7 linked regions of the Ovis aries genome follow. The protein of the gene in region 1 purifies or fractionates together with the protein of each later gene. This does not show direct contact. Links are inferred from orthologs where the notes say so. Each region holds a gene or a part of one and is shown in the gene's direction. Other genes may lie near its edges. The genes, in order: SIKE1, STRIP1, STRIP2, PPP2R1A, STRN4, STK24 and STRN.

Evidence for each region.
Region 2: the proteins of SIKE1 (region 1) and STRIP1 purify together in Homo sapiens (affinity purification with mass spectrometry; 3 studies listed by BioGRID and IntAct, with this or other methods). This does not show direct contact. The link is inferred for Ovis aries from reciprocal best matches to the Homo sapiens genes SIKE1 and STRIP1.
Region 3: the proteins of SIKE1 (region 1) and STRIP2 purify together in Homo sapiens (affinity purification with mass spectrometry; 3 studies listed by BioGRID and IntAct, with this or other methods). This does not show direct contact. The link is inferred for Ovis aries from reciprocal best matches to the Homo sapiens genes SIKE1 and STRIP2.
Region 4: the proteins of SIKE1 (region 1) and PPP2R1A purify together in Homo sapiens (affinity purification with mass spectrometry; 6 studies listed by BioGRID and IntAct, with this or other methods). This does not show direct contact. The link is inferred for Ovis aries from reciprocal best matches to the Homo sapiens genes SIKE1 and PPP2R1A.
Region 5: the proteins of SIKE1 (region 1) and STRN4 purify together in Homo sapiens (affinity purification with mass spectrometry; 3 studies listed by BioGRID and IntAct, with this or other methods). This does not show direct contact. The link is inferred for Ovis aries from reciprocal best matches to the Homo sapiens genes SIKE1 and STRN4.
Region 6: the proteins of SIKE1 (region 1) and STK24 purify together in Homo sapiens (affinity purification with mass spectrometry; 4 studies listed by BioGRID and IntAct, with this or other methods). This does not show direct contact. The link is inferred for Ovis aries from reciprocal best matches to the Homo sapiens genes SIKE1 and STK24.
Region 7: the proteins of SIKE1 (region 1) and STRN purify together in Homo sapiens (affinity purification with mass spectrometry; 4 studies listed by BioGRID and IntAct, with this or other methods). This does not show direct contact. The link is inferred for Ovis aries from reciprocal best matches to the Homo sapiens genes SIKE1 and STRN.

What each region holds. Positions count from the first base shown.
Region 1 is NC_056054.1:92,154,047-92,158,016, reverse strand, and holds the start of SIKE1 (suppressor of IKBKE 1), read left to right. Parts: upstream 1-1,170; 5' UTR 1,171-1,250; coding exon 1,251-1,409; intron 1,410-1,644; coding exon 1,645-1,750; intron 1,751-2,826; coding exon 2,827-2,969; intron 2,970-3,970.
Region 2 is NC_056054.1:87,345,493-87,349,697, forward strand, and holds the start of STRIP1 (striatin-interacting protein 1), read left to right. Parts: upstream 1-1,405; 5' UTR 1,406-1,417; coding exon 1,418-1,597; intron 1,598-4,205. UniProt on the Homo sapiens protein: Plays a role in the regulation of cell morphology and cytoskeletal organization. Required in the cortical actin filament dynamics and cell shape. Part of the striatin-interacting phosphatase and kinase (STRIPAK) complexes.
Region 3 is NC_056057.1:95,037,012-95,040,511, forward strand, and holds part of STRIP2 (striatin-interacting protein 2), read left to right. Parts: intron 1-1,988; coding exon 1,989-2,063; intron 2,064-3,117; coding exon 3,118-3,252; intron 3,253-3,500. UniProt on the Homo sapiens protein: Plays a role in the regulation of cell morphology and cytoskeletal organization. Required in the control of cell shape. Calmodulin-binding scaffolding protein which is the center of the striatin-interacting phosphatase and kinase (STRIPAK) complexes.
Region 4 is NC_056067.1:58,174,942-58,178,278, forward strand, and holds the end of PPP2R1A (serine/threonine-protein phosphatase 2A 65 kDa regulatory subunit A alpha isoform), read left to right. Parts: coding exon 1-138; intron 139-1,388; coding exon 1,389-1,531; intron 1,532-2,197; coding exon 2,198-2,289; intron 2,290-2,418; coding exon 2,419-2,435; 3' UTR 2,436-2,837; downstream 2,838-3,337. UniProt on the Homo sapiens protein: The PR65 subunit of protein phosphatase 2A serves as a scaffolding molecule to coordinate the assembly of the catalytic subunit and a variable regulatory B subunit.
Region 5 is NC_056067.1:53,600,438-53,603,937, reverse strand, and holds part of STRN4 (striatin-4), read left to right. Parts: intron 1-927; coding exon 928-1,098; intron 1,099-1,235; coding exon 1,236-1,376; intron 1,377-1,836; coding exon 1,837-1,935; intron 1,936-2,116; coding exon 2,117-2,203; intron 2,204-2,835; coding exon 2,836-3,005; 3' UTR 3,006-3,073; intron 3,074-3,297; 3' UTR 3,298-3,500. UniProt on the Homo sapiens protein: Calmodulin-binding scaffolding protein which is the center of the striatin-interacting phosphatase and kinase (STRIPAK) complexes.
Region 6 is NC_056063.1:74,810,233-74,813,732, reverse strand, and holds part of STK24 (serine/threonine-protein kinase 24), read left to right. Parts: intron 1-2,537; coding exon 2,538-2,723; intron 2,724-3,500. UniProt on the Homo sapiens protein: Serine/threonine-protein kinase that acts on both serine and threonine residues and promotes apoptosis in response to stress stimuli and caspase activation.
Region 7 is NC_056056.1:87,081,726-87,085,761, forward strand, and holds the start of STRN (striatin), read left to right. Parts: upstream 1-1,236; 5' UTR 1,237-1,341; coding exon 1,342-1,575; intron 1,576-4,036. UniProt on the Homo sapiens protein: Calmodulin-binding scaffolding protein which is the center of the striatin-interacting phosphatase and kinase (STRIPAK) complexes.

The sequences.
Region 1 (3,970 bases):
TAGCTGTCATTGTTGAGTCATGTCCACGGGTTGTAGCCCACTATGGGATTCTCCAGGCAAGAACAGTGGAGTGGGTTGCCAGTTCCTCCTCCATGGGATCTTCCTGACCCAGGAATAGAACATGAAGTCTCCTGCAATGGCAGGCAGATTCTTTACCACTGAGACACCACGGAAGCCTGTACATATGCACACACACATATATGAATATTAGTCAGTCTTAACAAGAAAGGAATTTCTGCTTGCATGGATGAACCTTGAGGACATTATGCCAAGTGAAATAAGCCATTCACAAAAATGACAATTATGATTTCTATGATTCCACTTGTATGAGGTATCTAATGTAGTTAAATTCGTAGAGACAGAAAGTAGAGGAGGGGTTGCCAAGGGCTGGGAGGAAGGCAGAATAAGGAGTTGAAGTCTAATGCTGTTGTGTTTAGTTGCTAAGTAGCTTTCCACTCTTTGCAACCCCACAGACTGCAGCACACCAGGCTTTCCAGTCCTTCACCATCTCCCAGAGTTTGCTCAAATTCATGTTCATTGAATCAGTGAAGCTATCCAACCATGTTATCCTCTGTCACCCCCTTCTCCTCCCACCCTCAACCTTTCTGAGCATCAGAGTCTTTTTCAGTGAATCGGTTCTTAGCATCAGGTGGCCAAAGCACTTGAGCTTGAGCTTCATCATCAGTCATTCCAATGAATAGTCAGGGCTGATTTCCTTTAGGATTGACTGATTTGATCTTGCAGTCCAAGAGACTCTCAAGTCTTCAGTTTTGCAAAATGAAAAGAATTCTGCAGATGAATGATAGTAATGACTGCACAACAACTTAAACGTACTTAATACTATTGGTTAAGATGATAAATTTAAAGCGTGTTTACCACATTAGAGGAAAAAAAATTTTTAACGGTGATAAGAATAATCCACATCAATCAAAACCAGTAGGAACAGGAGAAACTCAAGACTAGCCCAGGCTTAACACAACTTGACCACCAGGCAGTGGAAACAGGAAACCAAAGGCGTGGCAAGGGCAGTCCTCTGGGGCCCTTGCACAGGGCGAGGATGCGAGGAAGCCACAGGTTAAAGACGGTCACCAGCCACGGAGGCTGCCACTGCGCAAGCGCATATCGCAGCTACCGCCGAGGCTCCTTTAAACGTACCCGGAAGTGACGTCTGTAACGCTGAGACTTGCTCAGGGACGCGCTGAGTCCTTGGCACCGGTGAGCGGTGTTCTGACTGCGGTCCTGGGGTCGCTATGAGCTGCACCATCGAGAAGATTCTGACAGACGCTAAGACTCTACTGGAGAGGCTGAGGGAGCACGATGCGGCCGCCGAGTCACTGGTGGATCAGTCAGCGGCTCTGCACCGGCGGGTAGCCGCTATGCGGGAGGCGGGGACAGCGCTTCCGGACCAGGTCAGGCAGAGGGTATGGGCCCGTGCCCTCGGGTTCTGGGCACTTGAGGGGCGGAGGATGAGGTAAAGTGGAAACTCGGCTTGGAGTTTTTTCCTGGGCCCAGAGGGTGGCTGTGAGACCTTTACTGTGGGGTCGGGGCTGCCAGTGCTGTCCTGGAGTTCTGCCTCCTACCTCTTCAGTTGCATCTGCGGCTGTTCTGTTTACAGCGCGATTAGTTTGTCTCTTGTTTGTCCAGTATCAAGAGGACGCATCCGATATAAAGGACATGTCCAAATACAAACCTCACATTCTGCTGTCCCAAGAGAATACACAGATTAGAGACTTGCAGCAGGAAAACAGAGGTTAGTCAGGCCTTTTTGTGTGTAATGATTTTCTCATATCCAGTAATATTTCAAAAGTTCTTGCAAAAATGGCAAGTCACAAAAGTGCACATGCTGTGGTGGTGATTTAGTCGCTAAGTCGTGTCCGACTCTTGCGACCCCATGGACTGTAGCCTGCCAGGCTCCTCTATCCATGGGATTCTCCAGGCAAGAATAATGGAGTGGGCAATCCACTCTAGCACCCTTGCCTGGAAAATCCCATGGACAGAGGAGCCTGATAGGTTACAGTCCATGGGATCGCAAAGAGTCGGACACAACTGAGCGACTTCACTTTTCACTTTGCCATAGCCTGTGATGACCCAGTAGCAGTAAAGTTTATTACATTACTCTTTTAAAGGTCATCTGACTGATTTTGTATTTAAACACAGCTTATCCAACAGGTGCTTAGTAGAGTTGAATTATTATTGCATGGCTTGTTAGGTGTCTGGAGATGGAGGGTTGCATAACGGAAGAGTTAATATCCTCAAGGGTTTAAGATTTAATGTTTAAATATTGAAATAAACATTAAAGCTAAGATTGAAGGGATTTTTATGTTCTTATGCAAGGTGGAAGAGCTTAATTTAATCCTCAGGTGTATATTCTTGGGCTTGGTGAATATATTGTTAATGATAGTAGTATGAATAGTTATTTGTATATAAATTTATAGAAGGCTTTCACATATATCATGCAATGCATATATGTATTCTCATATGTTCATTTTGAAGTAGACAAGCCAGGTTTTTATTATTACAAGGCAGATAAGAAATAGGCTCAGAGAGGTTACATGATTTAAGAGTAGTAATCTAGTAATTCACAGAATTGAACTTAAACTCATGTCTTCTGATGCCACATCCCATGTTGATTCTACCAGATTTTGCTGCTGCTGCCTGGAAAGATATTTTTTGCATAGACCATGGCTGTTGAGTTTTGTGGACTTAAACACCAATTTACATCTTTGGGTTCATAGTATTTCACGCATGTCATAAAATCCAGCTGTTTGAGTTTGGCTTTAGGAGGTATCTCAGACATCACTGCCAAGTTATTTTGTTTTTTGATAGAGCTATGGGTTTCCTTGGAGGAACACCAGGATGCTTTGGAACTCATCATGAGCAAATACCGAAAACAGATGTTACAATTAATGGTTGCTAAAAAAGCAGCGGATGCTGAACCAGTCCTGAAAGCTCACCAGTCTCACTCTGCAGTAAGAAACTTTGATGGATAAATTCTAAATGAATTGAAATCTTGACATTGTTTTAGATCATGTGCTTGCTTTTGAAGTAAACTTGTTTTCCTTTCATGTTTACCACATTTGCTGTAGGTTTTAGTATAGCTTTGTAAAGATATGAGTAGAAAAAAGGGGGTAAAGGGCCTTTTATCTGAGTAAGACTCAAGTTCATCCCTCCACCAAGATCTCTCTTCAAGATGTTAATGAACACTACGTTTTTCCACTGAACAATGTCAGTTAGCGTTAAAGTGAAAATGAAAGTCACTCAGTCATGTCTGATTCTTTGGGACCCCATGGACTATACAGTTCATGGAATTCTCTAGGCCAGAATACTGGAGTGGGTAATCTTTCCCTTTTCCAGGGGATCTTCCCAATCTAGGGATTGAACCCAGGTCTCCTGGATTGCAGGCAGATTCTTTACCAGCTGAGCCACAAGGGAAGCCTGTTAGTGTTAAAGGTAATCAGTAAATACTTGAGTTGTTATTATGGTATGTTTCACTAAACTGTAAGCTCCTTGCTTGTAAGGAGTGTGAATTTCTTTTATCCCTAACATAGTACTTGTCACATAGCAGGGGGGTCAGTAAACATAGCATCATACTATGTTGTTAGGAGAGAGAAGTACGGTTTAAAAAAAAAAAAAGGCATAGTTTCTATACTCTCGTTGCTTATGGTTTATTTTGCGAGATGCAGTAATTGTTCTTAAGTTTGTAGAGTGCTTTAGAGTTGTCTTTGTATGTTTGCATGTACTATATTATTTAATCCTAAATTAATAGATTGACACCTCACTATTTGCTACAGTGGAATTTATGGAAGATAAGTTTCATCTTAGATTCCATCGAAAGCATTTTAATTAGTTTAACTAACTAAGGTCATAGGGAACAGGGATCTTTTAAATATGTGAATAACTTTCATCTGTGGTCCAAAGGAGAAAAACCTGATCCTTGAAGAAGACAGAATTTAGCTTATATGAAAAGCTT
Region 2 (4,205 bases), about 4.8 Mb from region 1:
GTTGCATCACAATGACTTTCCAAGAACTGAGCAGCCAAAATGTAGTTCTGGAGAAACAAGGATAACTAAAATGCTTTTAAGGATTTCACAACACAGTATCAGGTAATTACTACGCATCACCTCTAAGATGTCAAATGGGCATCTTAAACACGACATGTCCAAAACAGACATCTTGATCTTCCTCCAAACCTATTTTCCTCTGACTTCTCTATTTTAATAAGCAATACAACCACCCACCCAGCTGCTCAAGCCAAAAATTTAGGACTCATCCTTTATTCCTTCCTATCCTGCTGATAGGATTCCAGTCTTTCAGCAAATCTACCTACACAATACAGAAATACCACATCAACCCAATGTTCCAACCTGGCGTAAGACACCATCATTTCCATCTATATAGTCTCTGAACCTGTCCACCCTCACCTACTCTTGCAACACCCCAATGCTTTCTCCAAAAGCAGCAGCAGGTCAGCACTTTCTGATGGTTTTCCATTTTACTTAAAATAAAATCCAGAGTACTTTCTATGCTTTTCTAGGCCCTATATTTATCTGGCCCCTGCATTTACACGGCCCTCATCTCCTACTGTTCTTCTCCTGGCTCACTCAGTTCCTGCCAAGCCACCTAGGAGGCTCTGCAGTTAGCTGGTCCCTCTATGTTACCTCCATGGATATTGGCATGGCTCTCCCTCACTTCTTTCAGAACTCATTCAAAATCACTCTCAGCCCCTCCTTCCCTAAGCAGCCTACCTAACATAGCCCAGCTGTACCTCGATCACTGTCACCTTCCAATGCCTTACAGTTTCTTTCGTTTCTTCTCAGCACTTATTTGTGAGCGCATTGTCTGGCTCACCCACAGGCTCTATGTTACAGATCATTTCACTTTTTTCATTAGTGTAGGAACTTGATTTTGTTCCCCATTCTCTTGCACTGCCTTTAGTCTAAGAGACATTCATTAAATGTTTGTTGAATGAATGATTAAAAGAATGTCGTAACTGTAATTGTTTCATTGATTTACTCATTCCTTTCCCACGTCTCCCCCACGTGAACGTAATCTCCATGAAGGCTGGGATCGTGTCCATTTTGTTCTCTACAATATCCCGCAAGCTTTGGACAGATCTGTGAAAGTAACAAGAGCAAAGCGATGTTAAAGGAAAGAGGGGGGTTCCACTAAACTGGCTGAGGGGCTAAGGGAGGTTTTGCAGATAAAACTGCGATCTCTAAACTGGAACCGAAACACAAACTAGAAGGGTAAGATTTCACAAACAGAGAAAATCTCGCGAGGTGTTGGACAGTCAAGATGGCGCTGGCATGTGCCGCCACACTTAATATGGCGACCAGGGCGCGTTCCGGGACGAAATCACGCGAGAGTTGCATCACAGCCATAGTCAGTGAATTGAGCCGGGGGTGTGGAGCCGCCAAGATGGAGCCGGTAGCCGGCACTCCCGGCCCGCTGATCATGAACAACAAGCAGCCTCAGCCGCCGCCACCTCCGCCGCCTGCAACCGCGCAGCCTCCACCTGGGGCACCGCGGACCGCCGGAGGTCTCCTGCCTGGTGGCAAAGCCCGAGAGTTCAACCGCAACCAGCGAAAAGACTCGGAGGTCAGGAGCTTCGGGGGGCGAGGCTAGCACCAGGCGGGCGGCGGCGGTGGACCCCGGCCCCATTTCTGGGCCACTTTCGGGTCCAGGCTGGGTTTCCTGGAGGGTTCGGCAGGGGAGTTGTCATTTACAGCGAAAGGAGCAGGAAGCAAGGCTGACATCCCCGGGAGTCGGAGGCGTGAAGCTGGGGTCCCCGACCCGAGCTCTGCCGACCGGGAGAACCTCCCGGAGCCCGTATTGGCTTTTCTGAGGTCCGGGCTGTGGGCGCGGTCTCCGGGCTCCAGCCCCTGGGAAGTCCGCCCCGTGCCCCATTTCTCGGGTGAAGAGTCAGTGACCTGCGTGCGCTCTAGAGGGCGGGGCGGCTACACCCCAGACCCCCTAATCATCTCCAGCTTCTGGTCCTGTGAGTTCCGCGGCGCACGGTGGCGGGCATGTGTGGGCTGGGAAAGGACTGGCGAGGGTTGGGAAGGCACCTCCGAGAAGGACTGAGCTAATTAATTAGCACTAATAGTATCAATACTACGCGCCTGTAGGTCGCGATGGTTGGAAAGGGGAGCAGTCTTGTTCTGCTCTGAGCTTAGCCACTGCAGATTCAGGCCACGGTTAGACAGTGCCCGGTGGTTGGTGTGCCCAGTCCACCCGATGCTCAACTGTTAAAGATCAGAAATAAATTAAACAGGCGTTGAGGCTCAACATCTCTCTTCTCTTGTTTAGTGGGCTGTTCCTCCCATTCCGGAGACACCGTAGTCTGGAGCTGACTAGTCACCTCACCCCGAGTTGAAGAATTACTCCCACTGCATTCCATTGTAGAATTCATGAATGAAGACACACACGTAGCAGCGTTTTAGGGCTTCTTAATCAGCATGTTCCCAGAGCACTTACTAGGAAATTTCTTTCACCTGAGACAACCCTGAGGCTGATTAACAGTCAGATGCTTATTAATGAGAGGGCATTTTTTCTTGTCCAGATATAATGTATCAGGTCATACCTGAGTGATGATGCTATCTTTAGACACCTGAAATCAGTACCTCTCAAGCTCTTGGTTTTGTTGGCAAGAACAAACCTCTGGTCAAACATCAAAATTTGACAAGTTCCAGTCAGATGCACTTTGAGCTTGAAGTGAATTATTTGAAAAAGCAATGAAACCGACCTTTTAGTAGCCCTTGCATGATGGGCTGATTGCACATCAGTGGTGACTGCTTAATAATTTTTCAAGTATGGAGGATTTTAAAAGTGGTAGGGATGAATCCAGTTTCATCATCAGAGGCATCGTAGTTGTTCAGTAGTTAACAATTTTCCTAAGTGTTTCTATTAAATGTACTTTCTACCCTTTAATTTCTATATAGATTCAACACATGGAAGGTCATTCAGTGAACACATTTAAGCTGAGAGACCTGTCAGAATCTATTTTCTTAGAAATACTGATACAGCTCTCTTTTGAGTCAAAGCTGAAATCAGTAGGCTGGGAGCCAGAGGCGTGCCTGCAGAACAGGGAGGCAGGTATTTGACGAGAGCCCACTGTGCGGCATCGTTTTAATTAGTCCTTAAAAAACCTTCAAGATAGATTTTTGTCATCCTCATTACATAAATGAAGAAACTGAAGCTCAGGAACTTATGAAACTGTGCAGCCTGTTGCCTCTGAATAAGAAGTAGAGTTATTTATGTTACTCATGTTTGAGGGTATGTTATGTCATTTTGTGGGTGGTCATTGTCTTCCCAAGTAGATAGTAATTAAGCTGAGGACTACCTTTTTCTTCACCTCTGTTCTTTTCCCAGAACAAGGCTTCCCAGATGGTGTGTTCTCAGTACTCACTTATTTCCAGCAGTAAAAAGATTCTTTGCCATAATCTCTCCTATGTGTGGGAGGGAAACCATTTCTGTTCAGCTGCTGCCTTCTCTGTCAGTTCTTGCTGAAATTTGAGAGAAAGGCAGGAAGACTGAGGGTGTCAATACTTATTTTGTACTGAGCTGTTGATAGCCCACTTGCTAAGTCACTTCAGTCGTGTCCGACTCTGTGTGACCCCATAGACGGAAGCCCAGGCTCCCCCGTCCCTGGGATTCTCCAGGCAAGAACACTGGAGTGGGTTGCCATTTCCTTCTCCAATGCATGAAAGTGAAAAGTGAAAGTGAAGTCGCTCAGTCGTGTCTGACCTCAGCGATCCCATGGACTGCAGCCTTCCAGGCTCCTCTGTCCATGGGATTTTCTAGGCAGGAGTACTAGAGTGGGGTGCCATGGCCTTCTCCCTGATAGCCCACTAGCCAGAAAGAAACGAGGCTTCTAAAGCCTTAGTACCATGTGGAATGATCATTTCATTGCATGGAACACATGGAAGCTTTAGTGTTCATTTATCCAACAAGTTGTTATTTGAGTATATGCTCTTCATTCAGTCACCCATGCCAAGTACTGTGCTGAGCATTGTGAAATCATGGGTGAGAAGAATGGACACTAAACAGACGCACAGGCGCATGTATAATTATGAGTTATGATAAGTGCCATGAAGGAGTAGTGCAAGGGGCTCTGAGAGGGCTTGGTAGGGAGAGCCGAACTAACCCAGAAGACAAAACATTGTGAGAAAACGTCAGAACAGTGAAGGCAGCGATGTGCTGTAAC
Region 3 (3,500 bases), on another chromosome or scaffold:
TCTAGCAAAGTTGAATTCATACATATTATGACCCAACAACTCTGGTACACTTTAAAAGAAACTCTTAAGCCCAAGAAAACACTTAAAAGATGTTTATTGTCATCATTGGGAACAACTGAAAAAAACTTAGGGGACTAGGTAAACTGTAGTATATCAATATATTAGCTACTGTATAGTCATTAAAATAATTGATCTGTATTAGTATGCTTCAGTGTCAATAAATATTAGAAATATGTTGAGGGGTAGAAGAAACAGTGACAAAATAATTTATACATGCATCCAGAAAACTGCTTAAATACCTAATGCTGATTCATGTTGATATATGGCAAAAACCATCACAATATTATAAAGTAATTATCCTCTAACTTAAAGCATTGTTATGAGAGTAAACAACTAGAAACAAGGGGGAAAAAACTGCTTAAACACACAAGTCTAAAGATGTTTCTAGATGTCTGCTTGCACACTTGATTGAGAACCGTGTCAGTTAAATGAATGGATCTGTTCATCACACTGCTTTTCATGTAAAATCTTGAAAAACTTAATAAAAAATGCTCCTAAGGAAAAATAAAAACACTCCTAAGTAAAAATAATTCATACAATATGATACCATTTGGATAAAAGCTTTAAAAAAAGAATAATATCATGTGTGGTTGACAGGCATGTACACATATACTAAAAGTATAAAAATAGGCATGTGAAGCATACACACCAGTTTCATCATAGTGGTTATCTCTAGAGAGGGAAATAAGACCAGGGAGGAAGAAGGGGCTTTAGATGTCTGAAACAGATATGACAAGTTTTAACACTTGTTTAATCTGAAGAGATAAACACAGTGTCTTTTATGCATTCTATATTTACCTGTAGAGTATCAAAGTTCATGATCTAAAATTTAAAAATAAGACAAAAGCAAAGGTCAGCACCTAAGAGCCTTTCTCCCTTTTTTGAGTTGGTTTGTGCCCTACTCTTAAAAAATATAAATCTACACTACTCACTAATGACTGAAGAATTTCACAATCAGAGCTGAGATTTGCTTCTGGTCACTCTAGGACTCTGGAACTCAGAATGCAAAAGCCCTGGCTCCCAGACAAGGTATTTCTTGACCAGTAAGACAGCCGGCTGGAACATAAGTGAATGTCTCTTGCTTTGTGAATTATCTGTGACCTAGTTAAATTTCCAGCCAGGATCTTAGGGAACAGTTTTGAGGAAGCATCTCTTGACCTACTGACTACTTCTTCATCCCCTGTAAGACAAGAGTACTGATGAAGTATTCTGATGTGAGCATGTATAGGTGTGAAAGAGTGTTTTTTTTTCTCAAAAGCTCTCTGTATTTTGTATTGAGAGGCTATTGCCAGCAAAGATTTTCACTAGATTTTCCTGGGCACAGGCGGCCCTTTGACAATCAAAGCTGCTTGTACATGGTTTGATGCTGTTTCTGCCCAGGTGGCCGTGGGCGGGAATGTAAACTTCTATACCTTTCGAGGAAGCTCCACAGGGAGAGAATGAACTGGCTCCAACCCCAAAGAGCCCTCTAATATTTACATCCTCTCCAGCCCTCACCCTGGCTCCTTGAATGGCACAAGGATCTGGCATCTAAATTTCAGGAGTTGTATTGTCCGCTTTTTCCCTAGAGACAAGATAGTTCCAGTCTAGCTTGACAAGCAGAAAAGGATGCAGCCCTAAGAAACAGGAATGATGACATTAAACCTTCTCTGTCCCAGCCCTCCTCCTGGCCCTCAACAAATGTCGAAGGCTGCCTTCTCTGCCGTAGCAGCCAGCTGGCAGGAGGAGGACAGGTTTGATGCTTTAATCACCCAGGGACACAAGTGGCTATTTTTAACCTCCGAAAAGGAGGAAGTTGGCTCTGGATTGAATTGGACACAGGAACGTGTTGGAAGCTTTAGCTCTTTCATGCCACTGTCTCCATCCCAGGCCCCTTCTGTGAAGATCTGCTAAATGTTTATGATTCTGTCCTCTCTTTCCTGCCACAGAATTGTACAGCTACACCGAAAACCCAGAATTTACCACTAACAGGAGGTGCTTTGAAGAGGATTTCAAGACCCAAGGTGATCCCAGATCCTTATTCATTGAGATCTGCTTTTTCTGTGATATCCCAGGCTGATCTAGAAAAAGCCTAAAATAAAGTATGATCCTTCCTCCTCTTCACAGCCACGTAATTTCTCTATTCCTTCTTGCATATGGGTTTTCTGTATCAAGTAGAGAAGTCACAGAGTGGAAGTAAGAGAAGCCTGATCTGGGGCCTTTCCTGATGTCAAAGGAGTGAGGAGATGTTGCTGGACTGCTGTCCTGTTACCTAGTAACCCTGTGCCCGGCCTGGCCTTTGACCTTACTGTTCAACCCATCTCCACTCTGCCTCACTCCCGATACCATCAGGAGTAATAATTTCATGTGCCCACACTGTGACCCACTCAGACTAGTAACCCTGTGCCCAGCCTGGCCTTTGACCTTAGTGTTCAACCCATCTCCACTCTGCCTCACTCCCGATACCATCAGGAGTAACAATTTCAGTGCCCACACTGTGACCGACTCAGACCTCCATTTCCTTACTTGGTCAGTGTCAATTCAGTGTTCAGCTCAGCACATGTGTGGTGAGTATACAGTTTGTGCCAGAGATGCAGGAGGCAAGGGTAGAGGTAAATTTACAGTATCTTCAAAGAAATTATAGTTAGATAGCCGAGGGGAAATGTGTACGTCATGAAACTAGCTGAGGCCAAGAGGAAAATGAGTAGTGTCATTAGAGAAGTAAAAAGTATCATGGGCAAAGCTTCTGGCTGGAGCATTAGTGGAAAAGAGGTGATTTTGTACTGAACTTGTAACGATGTATAGGAATTGGATATGTAGGGAGACAGAGGGAAGTCCCTGAGGAAAGACAGAAAGATAGAGGGGGTGTGGAGGAAGACGAGGCTATAGAGTGGGTTCAGGCAAGAACATTTGGTTGCTTACTTTTCCCATTCCTTATTCTTTGTCAGCTCAGTAAAGCTTTTGAAGAGAAGAATTTGTTGGTGGGGGCTGGCATCAGAGGTGCATACATTCTCAGAAGCCTTTCCAAGAAGGGGAGGCAACAGCTGACACTGCATCTCTATGTCCTCCTGTCCCCAGTGCAGGGTGAGGAGTGGCTGGAGTTGGAGGAAGATGCCCAGAAGGCCTATGTGATGGGACTCCTAGACCGGCTGGAGGTGGTCAGTAGGGAACGGAGACTGAAGGTGGCCCGAGCTGTTCTCTACCTGGCCCAAGGTGAGCAGCCACCTTTGCCAACTTGAGAGGGGTGGAGACTGGGGAGAGAGATGGTGTTATCAGGGCTAGGATGACGCAAGTCATGCTGGGAAAGCCAGGTCCCTGCCTTTCAAGGACAATCGTGTCGTGTACTAGGAGTAGCCTTGTACTTACGTGAAGGGGAGATAGTGGTAGATCCTGCTCTGGATCCCTCGGAATCAACCTTTATCTTTCCAGGAGTGCCAGGATTTCTTACAGGGTTCTTTTTT
Region 4 (3,337 bases), on another chromosome or scaffold:
GCGGCCACCAGCAACCTGAAGAAGCTGGTGGAGAAGTTCGGGAAGGAGTGGGCCCACGCAACTATCATCCCCAAGGTCTTGGCCATGTCTGGGGACCCCAACTACCTGCACCGCATGACCACACTCTTCTGTATCAATGTGAGCGCCCACCGGCCCCCACCTCTCCCTGGGGGAGGGGAAGTAGACGGGAGAGGAGGAATGGAGAAGGTCCTCGGGGGAAAGCTGGCTTGGGAGTAGGAAAGTGATGGGATCTGGGGCCGTAGGGGTTAGTCCTTGGGGAACTGCAGGCTGGAACTTGGGGCTCCCTGGTCAGAGTATAGGGCCTTTGCAGGTGGGGACCTGCGTGGGGGTGACTGGGGAAATTTGGCCAACAGAACAGTGATGGCCAGGTCTGTCTGAGCACCCCCTCCTTCCTCACAAAATAAGTGATATTTATGATACAACGGTTAAAGCACAGTTTCTAGAATCAGACCTACTGTTTAATTCTAGCTCTGCCACATATTGACTGTGCACCTTGAGAAAATTACTTAGTGCCTCAGTTTTCTCACCTGTAAAGGGTTCATACCAACAATCACAGCCCCAGACTCCCGAGGCTGTGACATTGATCTGGTTATACAGCTTAGAACAGTGGTTCATATGTAATGTATGGTGTGTATGTAATATGCATATGTATAGTGTGTATGTAATACATAACGTATGGGGTGTGTGTGTGTGACACGTAACGTATGCTGTGTGTATATATGGTGTGTGTGTGATATGTATGCTGTGTGTGTGTGGTATGTAATGTATGGTGTGTATGTGATGCATATGTATGCTGTGTGTGTGATATGTATGCTGTGTGTGTGATATGTATGCTGTGTGTGTGATATGTAAATGTGTGATAAATAAATACAGTAGAAAGTACTGATAGATAAATACAGTAGAAAGTACTTGTATGTAGTCACGTAAATAAACCATACACTTAAATAAACTTAAAACCACTTAAACCACATAACTACAAATTAAAGAATGAGATTTAAAAGTTAGCATAAAATTGTTCCGGTAATCCCTTCCTGTGCATCACTCTGGAGACCACAGCACTAAGGAAGGGATCCCAGGGTCAGGAATCCAGTCCCATCCCCAGAGGATGAGGGAGACTCTGAGGAAGGGAGCTGGGGTGGGACAGTGTGGGCTGGGGGTTTTCAGGGCAGGGAGATGGTGGAGTGAAGAGGGTGTTAGGGAACCTGGGAACTTGTGGAGAATCAAGGCCCTCAGGCTGGGCGAGTCTGAGCTCAGAGTCCCCCTGATGCTCAGCTAGTTTTATCCCCAAGCCCGATGGCCACTAAGTGTCCCGGTCAGAGGGAGCGAGGACTCTGGGGAGTCACCCTCTGCTGCTCCCTGGCCTGCAGGTGCTGTCCGAGGTCTGCGGGCAGGACATCACCACCAAGCACATGTTGCCCACCGTGCTGCGCATGGCCGGGGACCCTGTCGCCAATGTCCGCTTCAACGTGGCCAAGTCCCTGCAGAAGATCGGGCCCATCCTGGACAACAGGTGAGGCCTGCCCCTCCTCCACACACGATTGCATTTGTATCAACTTCAAAAATGGATCAAGGGGGACGCAGGCGATGGAAGTGAGAATGGTGGTTATTTTGGGGGAAGGGCCTTGGGACGCCTGCACCTGTCTGTCCAGGACACAGCTTCACCCCTTAGCTTCTCTCTGAAGACCGCCTTCGTCCCCCAAACAGCTGACTGCCGCTGCAGAAGCATTTCCCTCGGCCCTTACCTCCCTGGGCCCCTGTAGGGCCGAGTCCCTCCCTCAGGTGCTCGCCTCTCCTGTTACTTGTCAGCAATTTGATCTGCCTTCTCCCAGTCTGGGCTCCGTGTGGGTGAGAGTCAGGAGGGTTGGGTTTTCCACTGTGTCCACACCTGATGGGCAGTAGGCCTCGGTATATAATGTTACACAAATACAAGGCGTCACGTGGCCGAGGCTCAGAGACTTGAGGGTTCTGGGTTTTCTGCCCCACCTTTCCACACCACCTCACCTCCCTATACCTATTCTGGGCCCCCGAGGCCTCTGTCCTGGTTTGTGAGACTTTCAGCCTTCCAAGTACTGGTTGCTCTGGCCCTGAGAGCTCTCGTGCACCTGTGTGTCTGCGTCTGTGCAGACACCCAGCAGCCCCACCTTTCTGACCCCTCGCCTTTCCCCTCTCTTCCCAGCACGCTGCAGAGTGAGGTCAAGCCCGTCCTCGAGAAGCTGACCCAGGACCAGGACGTGGACGTCAAGTACTTTGCCCAGGAGGCTCTGACTGGTGAGGCGTCAGGAATCCGAGACGCTGGCAGGAGCGGGTGGGGGTCTGCGAGGGCGATGCTTGGCCTGGGAGCGGCTGTGGGCAGCGGGCTGGCTGCCTTCTGACTCCCGTCTCTTCCTGTTCCCCCAGTTCTGTCTCTTGCCTGATGCTGGAAGAGGAGCCACCGCCAGCCTCCGGTGTCCGCCCTCCCCCTCCAGGCTCCTCCCTGGGGGGACAGTGGGGGCCTTTGGCTGTCACTCCCTGTGCATGGTCTGACCCCAGGTCCCTTCCCCGGCACGGTTCCTCCCTCAGCCTGGGACATCCACCCCCCCACGGGGCTGGGGGCGCACAAGGTGGGACAGAGCAGAGACCCTGGGAGGAAGGGGCCACTCCCGCCCTTTGGGGTGAGGCGGGAGCATCCCAGGTCGCCGGCTCCTGCTGCTGTATGGGGACCCCTCCCCCATCTCCACCTCCCTCCCTTCCTCTCGGTGGGTTTTTTGTGTCAATTGTGCTGTTTTTATTTTATTCCCTTGCCCCCCTTTTCACAGAGAAATAAAGGTCTAGAAATAGCTGGTCCTCTGGTCTTAGTCACTAGATGGAGAAGGGGGCACCACCTCAGGGCCCCAGCCTTGCGCTTCTGTCTGGCGAGGACTGACTGGACTTGCCGCATCCCTGTCCTTGCGAGTGAGGAGGATTCCCTGGGAAGCCGATGGGAGTGCCCCTGGCCCCAGGGGCCAGCGGAGTCCTGAGGTGCACTTAGGTTTCACAGAGGCTGGCTGAGTGTGTGGTGGTTAGAGCAGGTGCCTTGGTGCCAGACTGCCTGCGTCCAGATCCTTGTCCTTCCATTAATAGCTGTGTGGCCTTGAGTAGGTGCCCAGTCTCAGATTGCAGGACTGTAAAATGGGGTAACAGACTCTAGATTGAGCGGGGCAGGAATGAAGACTAAACGAGGTAATACACACAGCGTGGGCAGTGATTGACGCGTGAGAAGAGTGGGCCAGGAGCTCTCAGGATCATCAGGGCCGCGGCAGAGCAGGCTGGGGACTGTGGCTAGACAGAACCACTGGTT
Region 5 (3,500 bases), on another chromosome or scaffold:
AGGACCCAGGTGATTGAGCACGTGACCGAGGGTCAGATGAACGAGGCAGCGAGGGGGCGGTGGGTGAGCGGTGCACAGAGCAGCTCACTGGGCTGGAGCTTTGGGCAAAGCCAGGTGAAGGCGTGGTGGGCCCTGGCAGCACCCCACGGTCTCCGCCTGCATCTGCGTGGAGGAGCGGAGCCGGCAGGGCTGGGGAGGTGGAGACGCTGGCTGGGCCGGGCTACAGGGTTTACTGTTAAGTGGAGAAGTGAGCAGACCGTCCCCTTGGTTCAGTGTCCGTGTCCCTGCCCTCTGACACCTCTTTTGATAATGCTTTTGATCACATTTGGCTCCATGCCGCAGCATGTCGGGGCAGAGTTTGGGGATCTGTGTCTCCTCTCAGGATCGTCTCACCCTGTCAAAGATCAGGGGTCAGCCCCAGGCAGTGTCTGCTGTTCACCAGGCAGGCTGTCACACATTGGGTGTCAGCAGGGCCCAGCCAGAGCACCCCACATGGACCCAAGTGACCAGGGAGGTCATGGTGGGAATGACCTCAGAGCTTTGGAGGAGAGAATGGGCAAGAAAAGACTGCGGGGACAGAGGGTGGGGCTGACTCCAGGGGCCAGGCTGCAGAAGTCTTGGCCCTTATCCCCTTAACTGAGTCCTAAAAGTTATGTTCCGTGCAGGGCTTTGTGGTAGGCGCTGTCACGGGCCTGGGGGAATGGCAGGGAGCCAGATCATCCCTACCTCTGGAGTTTCCACTTTGGGGGCATTGAAAGCCTGAAACCTTCACAGAACAGCCGGCCCATGGTCGGAGCCTGAGCAGCTCTGAGGGCACAAGGATGGGGCGGGGGGAGGGTGACTCGGCAGAGTGGGGCTGCTGGGCTGTCCGAGCTGGAGCTGGACAGAGGCCCTGACGCAGCCCTCTCCCCACTCTGGCGGGTCCAGACCCAAGCGTGTTGAGCCACGTCCTGGAGGGCCACGGGGACGCGGTGTGGGGCCTGGCCTTCAGCCCTGCCTCCCAGCGCCTGGCCTCCTGCTCTGCCGACGGCTCTGTCCGCATCTGGGACCCCAGCAGCAGCAGCCCGACCTGCCTCTGCACCTTCTCCACAGCCAGCGGTGAGGGGCGGGGCGGGGGGCTGTGACACCCTGGGGGTGGAGGCCCCAGGGGAGGTCGACTTCTGACTGGGGCCCAGGCTTCCCGCCACAGGGCAGGAGCAGGGCTGTTGGCAGCCTTCTGTCTCCTCTGCCTTCAGATCACGGGACCCCCACCTCAGTGGCCTTCACCAGCACCGAGCCTGCCCACATCGTGGCCTCCTTCCGTTCTGGCGACACTGTTCTGTATGACCTCGAGGCTGGCAGTGCCCTCCTCACGCTGGACTCTCGGGGGAACAGTGGTAAGGGGGTGCCCAGGGCCAGGGGCTGAGGCCTGAATGCCTCCAGGGCCCCAGTTTCTCCTGGGGCTTTGGTGACCTGTTGCCCAGTCAGTGGACAGTGGCTGCCCTGCCCTCTGCAGGGCTCCGAGCAGGATGGAGATCAAGTCCCAGTCACTGTGCCCTTACGGACATCTCCGGAGGGCTGGGAGAGAGACATCCCAGGGGCTCCCCTGTGGACCGCTCAGTGGAGCAGAAGCACTGCCTTCACGGTTGCCATCCCTCCTGCTCGCCCAGGGGCCATGCAGCGTCCACGGCACAGATGGAGAAACCCTGGGCCCTGGAGGGAGCAGCTGGGGCGCCCAGCCCCGCTTGGCATCTCGGCAGAGGACAGGGATGGGATGGCCGTTTCTCCTCTTGTCTTTGTTCCTCCTGGTCTCCCTGATTCCGCCCCCCCTTGACTTCTGCTTTCTCTCCTGTTCAGGCCCAACCCAGATCAACCAGGTGGTGAGTCACCCCAGCCAGCCCCTCACCATCACCGCCCATGACGACAGAGGCATCCGTTTTCTGGACAACCGCACAGGTGAGGCCCGGCCTCCCCAGCCCCCGCTCACCTGTGCGGTTGGGGGGCGGGGTCAGCCCAGCTCAGAGCGGGAGATTGGTCAGTCCACCTTGGAGCCTCAGTGTCCCCGCTAGCCCCTACACCTTTCCAGGCTGAGCACAGAGTGGAAAAGTAACTTGCTGCCCACCCTGTCTCCCTGCAGGGAAATCGGTGCACTCCATGGTCGCCCACCTGGATGCGGTCACCTGCCTCGCCGTGGACCCCAATGGTGTCTTCTTGATGTCAGGAAGTAAGTCGGGGGCCTCCTGGCCCCTCAGGAGTGAGGGCACGTGCCCTTCCTAGCAGGAGCGGGAGAGGCATGCTTGGGGGCTCCCTGAGGCTGGGGCGCTGGTGGGAGTGCTGTCTGAGCAGGGCTCAGGAGCCCCTCTGTGGCAGGTTAGAGTGGTCACGGGGGTGGGGATACCGGAGCCACGGTAGGCGCGCTCCCACACGGCCCTGTTGCATTTGAATGAGGTTGGTACTGGAGCCCCCACTGTGCACATGTGGAAACTGGGCCTAGAGAAGTCACTTCACTTGGTCACAGCCCAGCGGGTTGCAGGAATTGACGTTCAGGCCTGTCTGACTCTCAGTCCCCGCAAGACAGGGGACTCTTAGCAGTGGGGCACCTGCCATTTGTGGATAAAGACACCAAGCCCCAGTGACTGCTCCTCGATGGCGTGGCTGGGACTCGGGCGGATGGAGAAGGGGCTGAAACTCCCCAGGGGGATGAAGAGGAGGCACTGGCCTGACAGGATGGCCCAGGGCGGTTCAGCTGTCTCCAGGGAGGCCGGGTTCAGGAGGCAGGTCTGGGCGGGGAGCTGGGGGAGCTGGGGGACCCGGAGCTGCTGAGCGACAGCCCCTCCTGCTCCTGCACCCGCACAGGCCACGACTGCTCGCTGCGTCTGTGGAGCCTGGACAACAAGACGTGTGTCCAGGAGATCACGGCCCACCGCAAGAAGCATGAGGAGGCCATCCACGCAGTCGCCTGCCACCCCAGCAAGGCCCTCATTGCCAGCGCAGGCGCCGACGCCCTGGCCAAGGTCTTCGTATGATGCCCACCTGGCCCTCCAGCCCAGGCCGCCACGCTGGCTGGGGGGTGGGGCCGGGCAGTGGGACTGAGGTGAGGGGATGGAGGGAGGGAGGCTGGGTTGGGAGGGCAGAAGCCCCGGGCACCCTCACTCCCGCCTGGCATTTCTGGAGGGTGCCAAATCCCGACACCCTAGCTGGGATGCCCTGCAAGAATTGCCAGGGTGGCCCCCCAGCATTCAGAGGAAGGGCCGGAACTGCCTGACCTCTGGCACCCTGGAGACTGTGGTCCAGCCTCCCCTCTCCTGTCTCCCGCAGGTGACCCCGGCCTCGGTCTGGAGGCCCCGAGGCCCAGCCGCCTCCTGCCTGCCTTGGGGCCTGGTGGTGCTATCGGCCCTCTTCCCCAGGAGGCCCTTCCCACGGCCTCCCACCGGGTGTGGCCTCCTTCAGGAATCGCCCTCCAGCATGGTCTCGGAATTTTCCCTCTACCCTGGCACCCACTCCGGGTCTCTGAGCTTCCT
Region 6 (3,500 bases), on another chromosome or scaffold:
CTTTTCCCTGTTTCTCTAAGGGGAAGGATGTCCGTGGGTGGGCTGGACTGGGGCGGGGACCTTGCCCCCTTCTGTGCTCATTCCCTTCTGCCCTTGCTGTAGCTGAGCCCAGCGCCATGCCAGGTGATTGACGCTTCAGTGAGCCAGTGCGGCGCTGGGCTTCAGGGGCTCTGATTGTGAGCTGGTTCACGGGGCCGAGAGGGTGTCGGGCTGCACAGATGCGGGCTTCTCAGCCCTTCAGAGACAAGCTGGGAGGAGAGGAGAGACATTTGTGCTGGAATGTTGATCGACTTCCCTGCTAGCAACCCCTGTGGAAGCTGAGCGGCCAGCACTGGTGTTCTCCTTGTAAACAACTTTCCCCTTTTTTGGTCTCAAAAGCAGCACTTAGTCTTTAATCTGGAAAATACTGGAAAAAATGAGCGAAGGGGAAAACATCTGTAGGCCTAATACCCAAGCACAAGCTAAGTTATTTTGGTGTCCAGTCGCGTCCGAAATAACTGTTTGCAGTCACCATGGTGAAGGATGAAAACAGGTGATGTGTTGATGGAAAAATAAAGATGAGTGGAGACACGGTAGGACCGGCCCATCTGTTGGAATGTGTACAGCCAGCTGGTCCACTGGGTACGTGACCAACCCTCCCGTCCCGATGGCAGCCCATGGCCTCCCCGGCTCAATCCTCAGGGCCAGGAGTTCCCACCTCCTGGCTGGGAGGGATGCACTTTGCACACAGGGGAAGGATGTGAGCGGAGAAAGAATCCAGCTTTGTCCAAGCGTGAGGTAATGGTGGGGCCATGTATTGCTACGGAGTCGGTCTCAGACGGTTTCAATACCTCTCGTGCGACTTAATGTGTTTCTGAATATTGCATCTTATTGAATAGTTTCTATTAAATCCATTTTGGGCTGTGTTTTAACTAGTTATAACTGTTATTTGGGATTCTCCATTTTTTTTTTTTTCTCCTGTCTTCCTTTTTTTTTTTTTCTGGCTGCCCCGCACACTGTGTGGTATCTTAGTTCCCTGACCAGGGATCGAACCCATACTCCCTGCAAGGGACCCATGGATTAACCACTGGAAGTCCCCCTCTGTGGTTCTTCATAGAATATTTTCTATACATAAATTTTTTTAATACATAAAAAAAAAGTTGTATTTCGTCTGCAGAGGTGTAGCCAGGTGACTTTTGCTTAACTAAGTGTTACTGCGAGGATTTTGAGAGCTGCTGTTGGTGCCCCTCTTGGGTCCCCTCACCCCCACTGCTCATCAATAACGGATAATTCTTCGTTGTCACTTTTAGGAGAATGCTCCCCAGGACTAACCACATACGGAAAGAAAATCTGTTCACAAGTAAATATCTGCAGTTCAGCTGTGATTTTTTTTTTACTTAGTCTCATTTTTGAAAACCACTGTTGGTTTCCCTTAACAGCTGATTTCCCAAACGATGGTAAAACAGGTCTCCTCTTATACCTCAATTTTAGTTGCTTGAAAAATGATTGCCCTCTCCCATATAATTCTTATTTTAAAATTCAGACACATTTTAAAATCTGATGTTGTAAATCCTAGATACCGTAATAGACAAACTCAGTTGATTCTCTATCAGCATCAGTGTTGAATATTTGATACTTCAGTCAAGTTAATGTGTCATAGCAATATAGTCATTCTTCTAAGGTTTTAGCATAAGTAATGCTGTTTTTGAATATTTTAGGCATCCCTTACCATTTTCTAAATATAAAATTTATTTAGGATCGATTCCTAGACGTGAAATTAGTTGGCTTTAACAAGTGTGGGTATTTTTGTGACTTTGACTGCATAATGCCAGATTGCTTGCCATTTATTCAAGTGCCAGTCAGGGTTTCCAAGTTAGTCAGCAGGATGTTAGATATATGCAGGCGGAGCCTGCAGTCAGGAAGACCACTCTGGAGCCCCTCATGGAGCCCTAGGGACAGAAGACATTTCTGAACTAAGCCGGAGGCAGGAGGGGTAGATGGGGACTCAGGGCGCCAAGAGGTCAAGAGCCACACACCTGGCAGCTGGTTGATATAGGAGGACCAAAGAGAAGTTCCAAGGGTTGGGCCCAGGCTCCTGGCCTGGCCGCCTGGGAACAGGGATCTCATTTCATCCTGTTGTGGCTTAAGGGCTGGCTTCTAAGCATCTCTGGACGTGGTGGCTGCAAACGTGCTGTGGTCCCCAGACATGCCGTCTCCACTGACCTCAGGTTGCCTGTCCTGTTGACTCAGGGACTTAAACAAACGTGGAACGTCTCCCACCTCTGGCAGCAAAGGGAAGAGGTGTAATCATCAGAGCCAGCTTCCACGTCGAGGCAGAAGATGATATTATTACATGTCCTCCTGTGTGTTGCCTTTTTTGAAGTTACACCAAAGGCTTTATCTTTAACAAATTTTTTTCAGTTAAGAATGAGTATCTTATTCAAGACCTCAGAAGCACATTAGTTTTTGGTTTTGTTTTTTACCTTCTAGGAAGTACGTTTCTTTGAACCGCCTCCCCTCCGAATGTGTAACTAACTAGCTGTGTTTCGCTGTTGCAGGCGGACATCTGGTCCCTGGGCATCACGGCCATCGAGCTTGCCAAGGGGGAGCCGCCGCATTCCGAGCTGCATCCCATGAAGGTCCTATTCCTTATCCCAAAGAACAACCCCCCGACGCTGGAAGGGAACTACAGCAAACCCCTCAAGGAGTTCGTGGAGGCCTGTTTGAACAAGGAGCCGAGCTTTGTGAGTGTCTTGACCTGGGAACGGGCATCTCCCCCCATGGGGGCCTGATGGGTCTGGATGCGTCTTAGTGGTCTGTTTTCCTTCTCTGCTTTCAGCTGTCTTCATGATCTCATTTCTTTTTCTAAATGGGTATGATTGATTTTTTTCTGAAGTGGAAATGCTTATTGTTATTTTATCTTTTTAAGGCTTCAAAGTCTACTTACCGTCTTTCAGATTTTCTGGTATCTCCTACCGCATTGAGCTTTGAAGACTGTTCTCCTTAATATTCTATGTGGGATCATACATTTTTAATATTTATAGTGGAAGGTTGGGCTATTTTTAGCTGTTGGCGTATCTGCAAAGTCCGGCCTGAGAAACAGTGGCTAAGTAAGTCTTTAAAGTAAACGTTTTCGGTTTCTTCTTGGCATGTGTTAGGAAGGGAAAGAGGAATGAGATGTAAACGTAGTCCCGCCTTGCTTTCCCCTCTTCCTTCTGACTGTCTCTGCTTTTGAGTTGAATCTGGCAGAGCCATGTGGCAGAGATGACTGCATGGCTTCAGCCTCATTTTCTCTCTGAATTAGGATATTTCTTGCAAAGTTGTCTGTGTATTTTGGTGTTGCATGTCACACCGTATGTCCTTGTTGGGTTTCTGAATTTTCCAGCAGGGTTAGCCACAGGTCAGGCTGAAACTTCTAAACTCATATCCCCACCCCCACCCCCCCATTCCCTACAAAGAACTCTTATCTAAAAATATGCTTTTGTTGTTCAGCTACTCAGTCGTGTCCAATTGTTTGTGAC
Region 7 (4,036 bases), on another chromosome or scaffold:
TTTTTCAGGTGCCTTCCTTTCATTATCATTGTAGTGTGAATTTATAGTGACATAATTTCAAGGACTTGAGAGAAAGGTAACAATTAGACACACTTGAAACGACTCTGGTGTGTCTTTCGTAGGGTAACAATAATGCCAGTTTGCAAGTGAACCATGGAAGAAACCGCGAACCGGACAAGTAAGTGAAAAGGGAGAAGTGTCTGCATACCTAAGAGAGCTCTAGGGCGTGGAAAGGGACTTTGTTCTTGCAGGTAGTTTCAGGCACCGTGAGAACTGATGTACATTTCTCTCTTTTCTCTCATTGCCAGTCTCTTTGACTGGCAGGACTTGACCATGGGAATTGTGTCATTTATCTTTATATTCCCAGTGACAGCACTAAAGAGTCAAACATTGAAATGAGTATAAACTGCTCGGAAATGAGGAAAAATTAGATCGAAATGACAGAGCCTTGGATATCCAAAACTTTTTACAGGATTTACTTCAAGATTAACTACAAAGGGAAAAGGACTTCAGCGGAGTAGGGTTTCAAATGAGGTGTCAACAAACCAGAATTTGGAAGAAGCAGGAAGTTGCTGTGTAGAGTTCTGTAGAAAGATGATCAGAGATCCTTCTCCGTGAGAACTGATCAGGAAACAGGTTTAATTGAACCCTAAGCGACAAAGAAAGGCAGGAACGACAGCCATACGGAAGTGGACAAAACTGAGGCGTGTCTAGGGTCAGAGAATTACCGAAGTCTGAGCAGAAGGGGTCTGAGAGTGGTGGCTGGAGAACCCCGGTCCTGGGGTTGGACTGGCGAAGCTTGCTTTGAGCTTGTTTTTTTATCAGAACTACCAGGAAGCTCCAAAAGATGTGCAACTCGGGCTAACATTTCAACGCGCTAACTTCCGTGAGTGTGCGTGTGTGTGCAACAGCGAGCGCCACCCAAGAACTTCCGCGTGCGAGGGAGACCAAAGCACCGCCCGCGGCTGCCCAGCCCCTTCAGTGAGGAAACCCGCGCATTCCGGCAGGGGGCGGCCCCCACCGCCGCGGGCAGGGGCGGGGCTGTAGGCGGGGCCGCGCTAGCGCCCCGTCTGAACGCAGCCCCACAGGCCGCCCGCCCCGCCCTCGTCGGCGCCCCGCCCCCCGACTACATTTCCCAGCAAGCCTCGGGCCGCCCGCGCGCCGCAGTTGACCCATTTCCCGGCCCGTCCCGGGCTCGACCGGCCCCCGCGCCCAGGCGGCTGCTCCCTGCTGACTGGGGTGTGGGCGGGGAGCGGCGGAGGGAGGAGGCGGCGCTGCTGGCTGCCGCCGTTGCCTCCGCTCCTGGGTGCCTGGGCAGCTTCCCCGGTTCCTGCGGCCGCCATGGACGAGCAAGCGGGTCCCGGCGTCTTCTTCAGCAACAACCACCCGGCAGCCGGTGGTGCCAAGGGTCTCGGGCCTCTGGCGGAGGCTGCCGCGGCCGGCGACGGGGCGGCTGCGGCGGGGGCGGCCCGAGCCCAGTACAGCCTCCCGGGGATCCTGCACTTCCTGCAGCATGAGTGGGCCCGCTTCGAGGTCGAGAGAGCCCAGTGGGAAGTGGAGCGGGCGGAGCTGCAGGTAAAGACCCTCCTGGCCTGGCCCTCTTCATCCCGCCTCTTCGCTCCCTTCCGCCCCGCCCCAGACCCTTCCCCCTCCCCTGCTTAGCCGTCGCTCGTCCCCTCCCCCTTTGCTCCTGCCCATCCCACCTCGAACCTCGTCCCCCTCCTTCCTTCGCCTTTGCCTGTCGCAGACCCCACTTCCTCGACCCGGGTTCTCTCTCTCGCTCCTGATACGTTGTTTACCTTCCTCACACCTTTTCATCTGCTCCTTTCCACTCTTAACTCTCAGGTTCATTTCAGCTCTCTTGCCATTCCACATCTGAGGTGTTCCCTTCAGTTTACTAATTGGGCTTACAGTAGTTTTGCGAGATAAGCAATCATCCCTTGTCCTGGGGAGTCCCATCCTGGGTCTAGAGATGGTCCCCGTAAAAGGTATTGACAGTTGGCGCCTCTCTGTAAGGAAGGTGATCAAAGAAGACAACCAGAAATTGTGTCCGTGAGGCCTTGACTTTAAGCAAGAAGCTGCTGTTGGGCCAGAGTGTTACTAGGAGTATCAGCTCGCTTTTTAAAAATGTAAATGTTTCTTCTTTTCCTTCTCCTTCGCCCCCTCCGGCGTTTCTCTTAGGTATTTCAGATTCCTGGATTTTGAATGAAGGACCTAGATGAGCACTGCCAGATGATGGTTCAGAGATGATTTCCCCTTCTCAGAATCTAAAACTTCCCACGGGTTAATTTTCTGTTCAGGGTTTTGTGAGATTGACTTATACTTTAACGGGAAACTAAAAAGAGCTTTAAAGTTGCTTACATTTCCTTGCATAATTTGCAAGATAAAGTGTATCCAGGGAGGAACTACTCTGGGCTCTTAGAAGGCTGAGAGTGAGACTGGTACTTTGCAGACAGTTCTGAATTGGTAAGTAGGTTTCAGTGGCTGTTCTTAAAACTTCCAAGGCATTCACCAATTTCACAAAGAACTTAGAAAACTCTGAGTGGCTGTGCCTTTCTGTTTACTGGCTAATCCTGTATGCTTGTGAAATCTGAGTATATTTTTGGTTGCTGAAATACTTGAAGTTAAAATACTACCCACTGTGCCACTGTTTTTGGTAGCATGTATTTTCTTTGGCACTTGAAAAGAAATGGAATCGTGTTAAATGGAATCATGTGCTGGACCAGACTGCTTTGGTGGAGTGGAAGTGGTTGTGGAAAGAGCAAGCAGAGAGGGTTATGATACAGGCTGTGTTTGCTGCCAGCTCTGTGACCTTGAGGAAATCCTTTAACAAACTCTCTGAACTTCGGTTTCATCCTATATTCAGTGTCTTTATTAGGTGGTAACACTGTGCCTGTAGGCTTGGGGGTTAACAAAACTGACAAAGCCTCTGTCCTCATAGAGCTTATGTTTTAGTTGGGAGGCAGCAAATGCAGCTATACAGTATGCTGATCCATAGTGGCAACTGCTATGGGAAAAATAGGATACAAGAGTAAGGTGTGATCATGCTCAGTCGTGTATGAGTCTTTGCGACCCCATGGACTGTAGCCCACCGGGCTCCTCTCTGTCCATGGGATTTTCCAGGCAGGAATACTAAAGTGGATTGCCATTTCCTCCTCCGGGGGATCTTCCCCACCCAGGGATCAAACCCTAGTCTCCTGAGTCTCCTGCGTTGGCAGGGAGATGCTTTATCACTTAGCCACCTGGGAAAGCCCCTTTGATGGGGCAGCTGTTTTAGATGGAGGTCAGGGAAGGCCTCTGAGAAGTTGAATGCAGTGAGGGTGTGATCTATAGTTTCTGAGATTCTGCTTATTTATACAATTACATGTTTATATTCTTTGGCAGCTTTTTCACTGGTACGGTTTTGTGACGTCAGTATCTAGTCTGTTGATATTTGTGATTTTTCTCATAATGAACCAGCAATGCATTCCATAAATGAGTTTGTGGATTTCAGACTTCAAGGAAGTATTAAAGGCAGGCTTTAACTTTAACCATTGTACAATTATGGATAATGATTTTTGTATGTAGCTGCTTAAATTTTAACTTCTTATCCAGTTTAGGGAATGTAAGATAAGTCACACTAATTTGTTCAAAAACAAACAAAACAGTTCTTACCTTTCTACCTGGGAAGTCTGAAAATTTCCAACCTATCTTAACTTCTCTCCCTCCACCCCCATATTTAACTTTTAATTTCCCTGTAGTTGTAGTTTCTCTTTAGTTGTGCCCTCTCTCCTCCTGCCCCCCAGAATATATACACACATACACACACTACTTAACTGGGTTATTTATGGCAAATGTTAAACTTCGGGTAGATTTCCTATTGGTGCTCATCATATTAAGAATACTACATGTTCACTGACTCTTGGTTTGAGCTCCAGTTAAAATTAAGCATCCATGGAGAAACTTTGAAAATGTGCCGTGACTTTTAAACAGAACAAGTATATGCTGTTGGAAGGAGAGAATTTGTAGGAATCTGTTTTTTGATTCTCTTATTAGC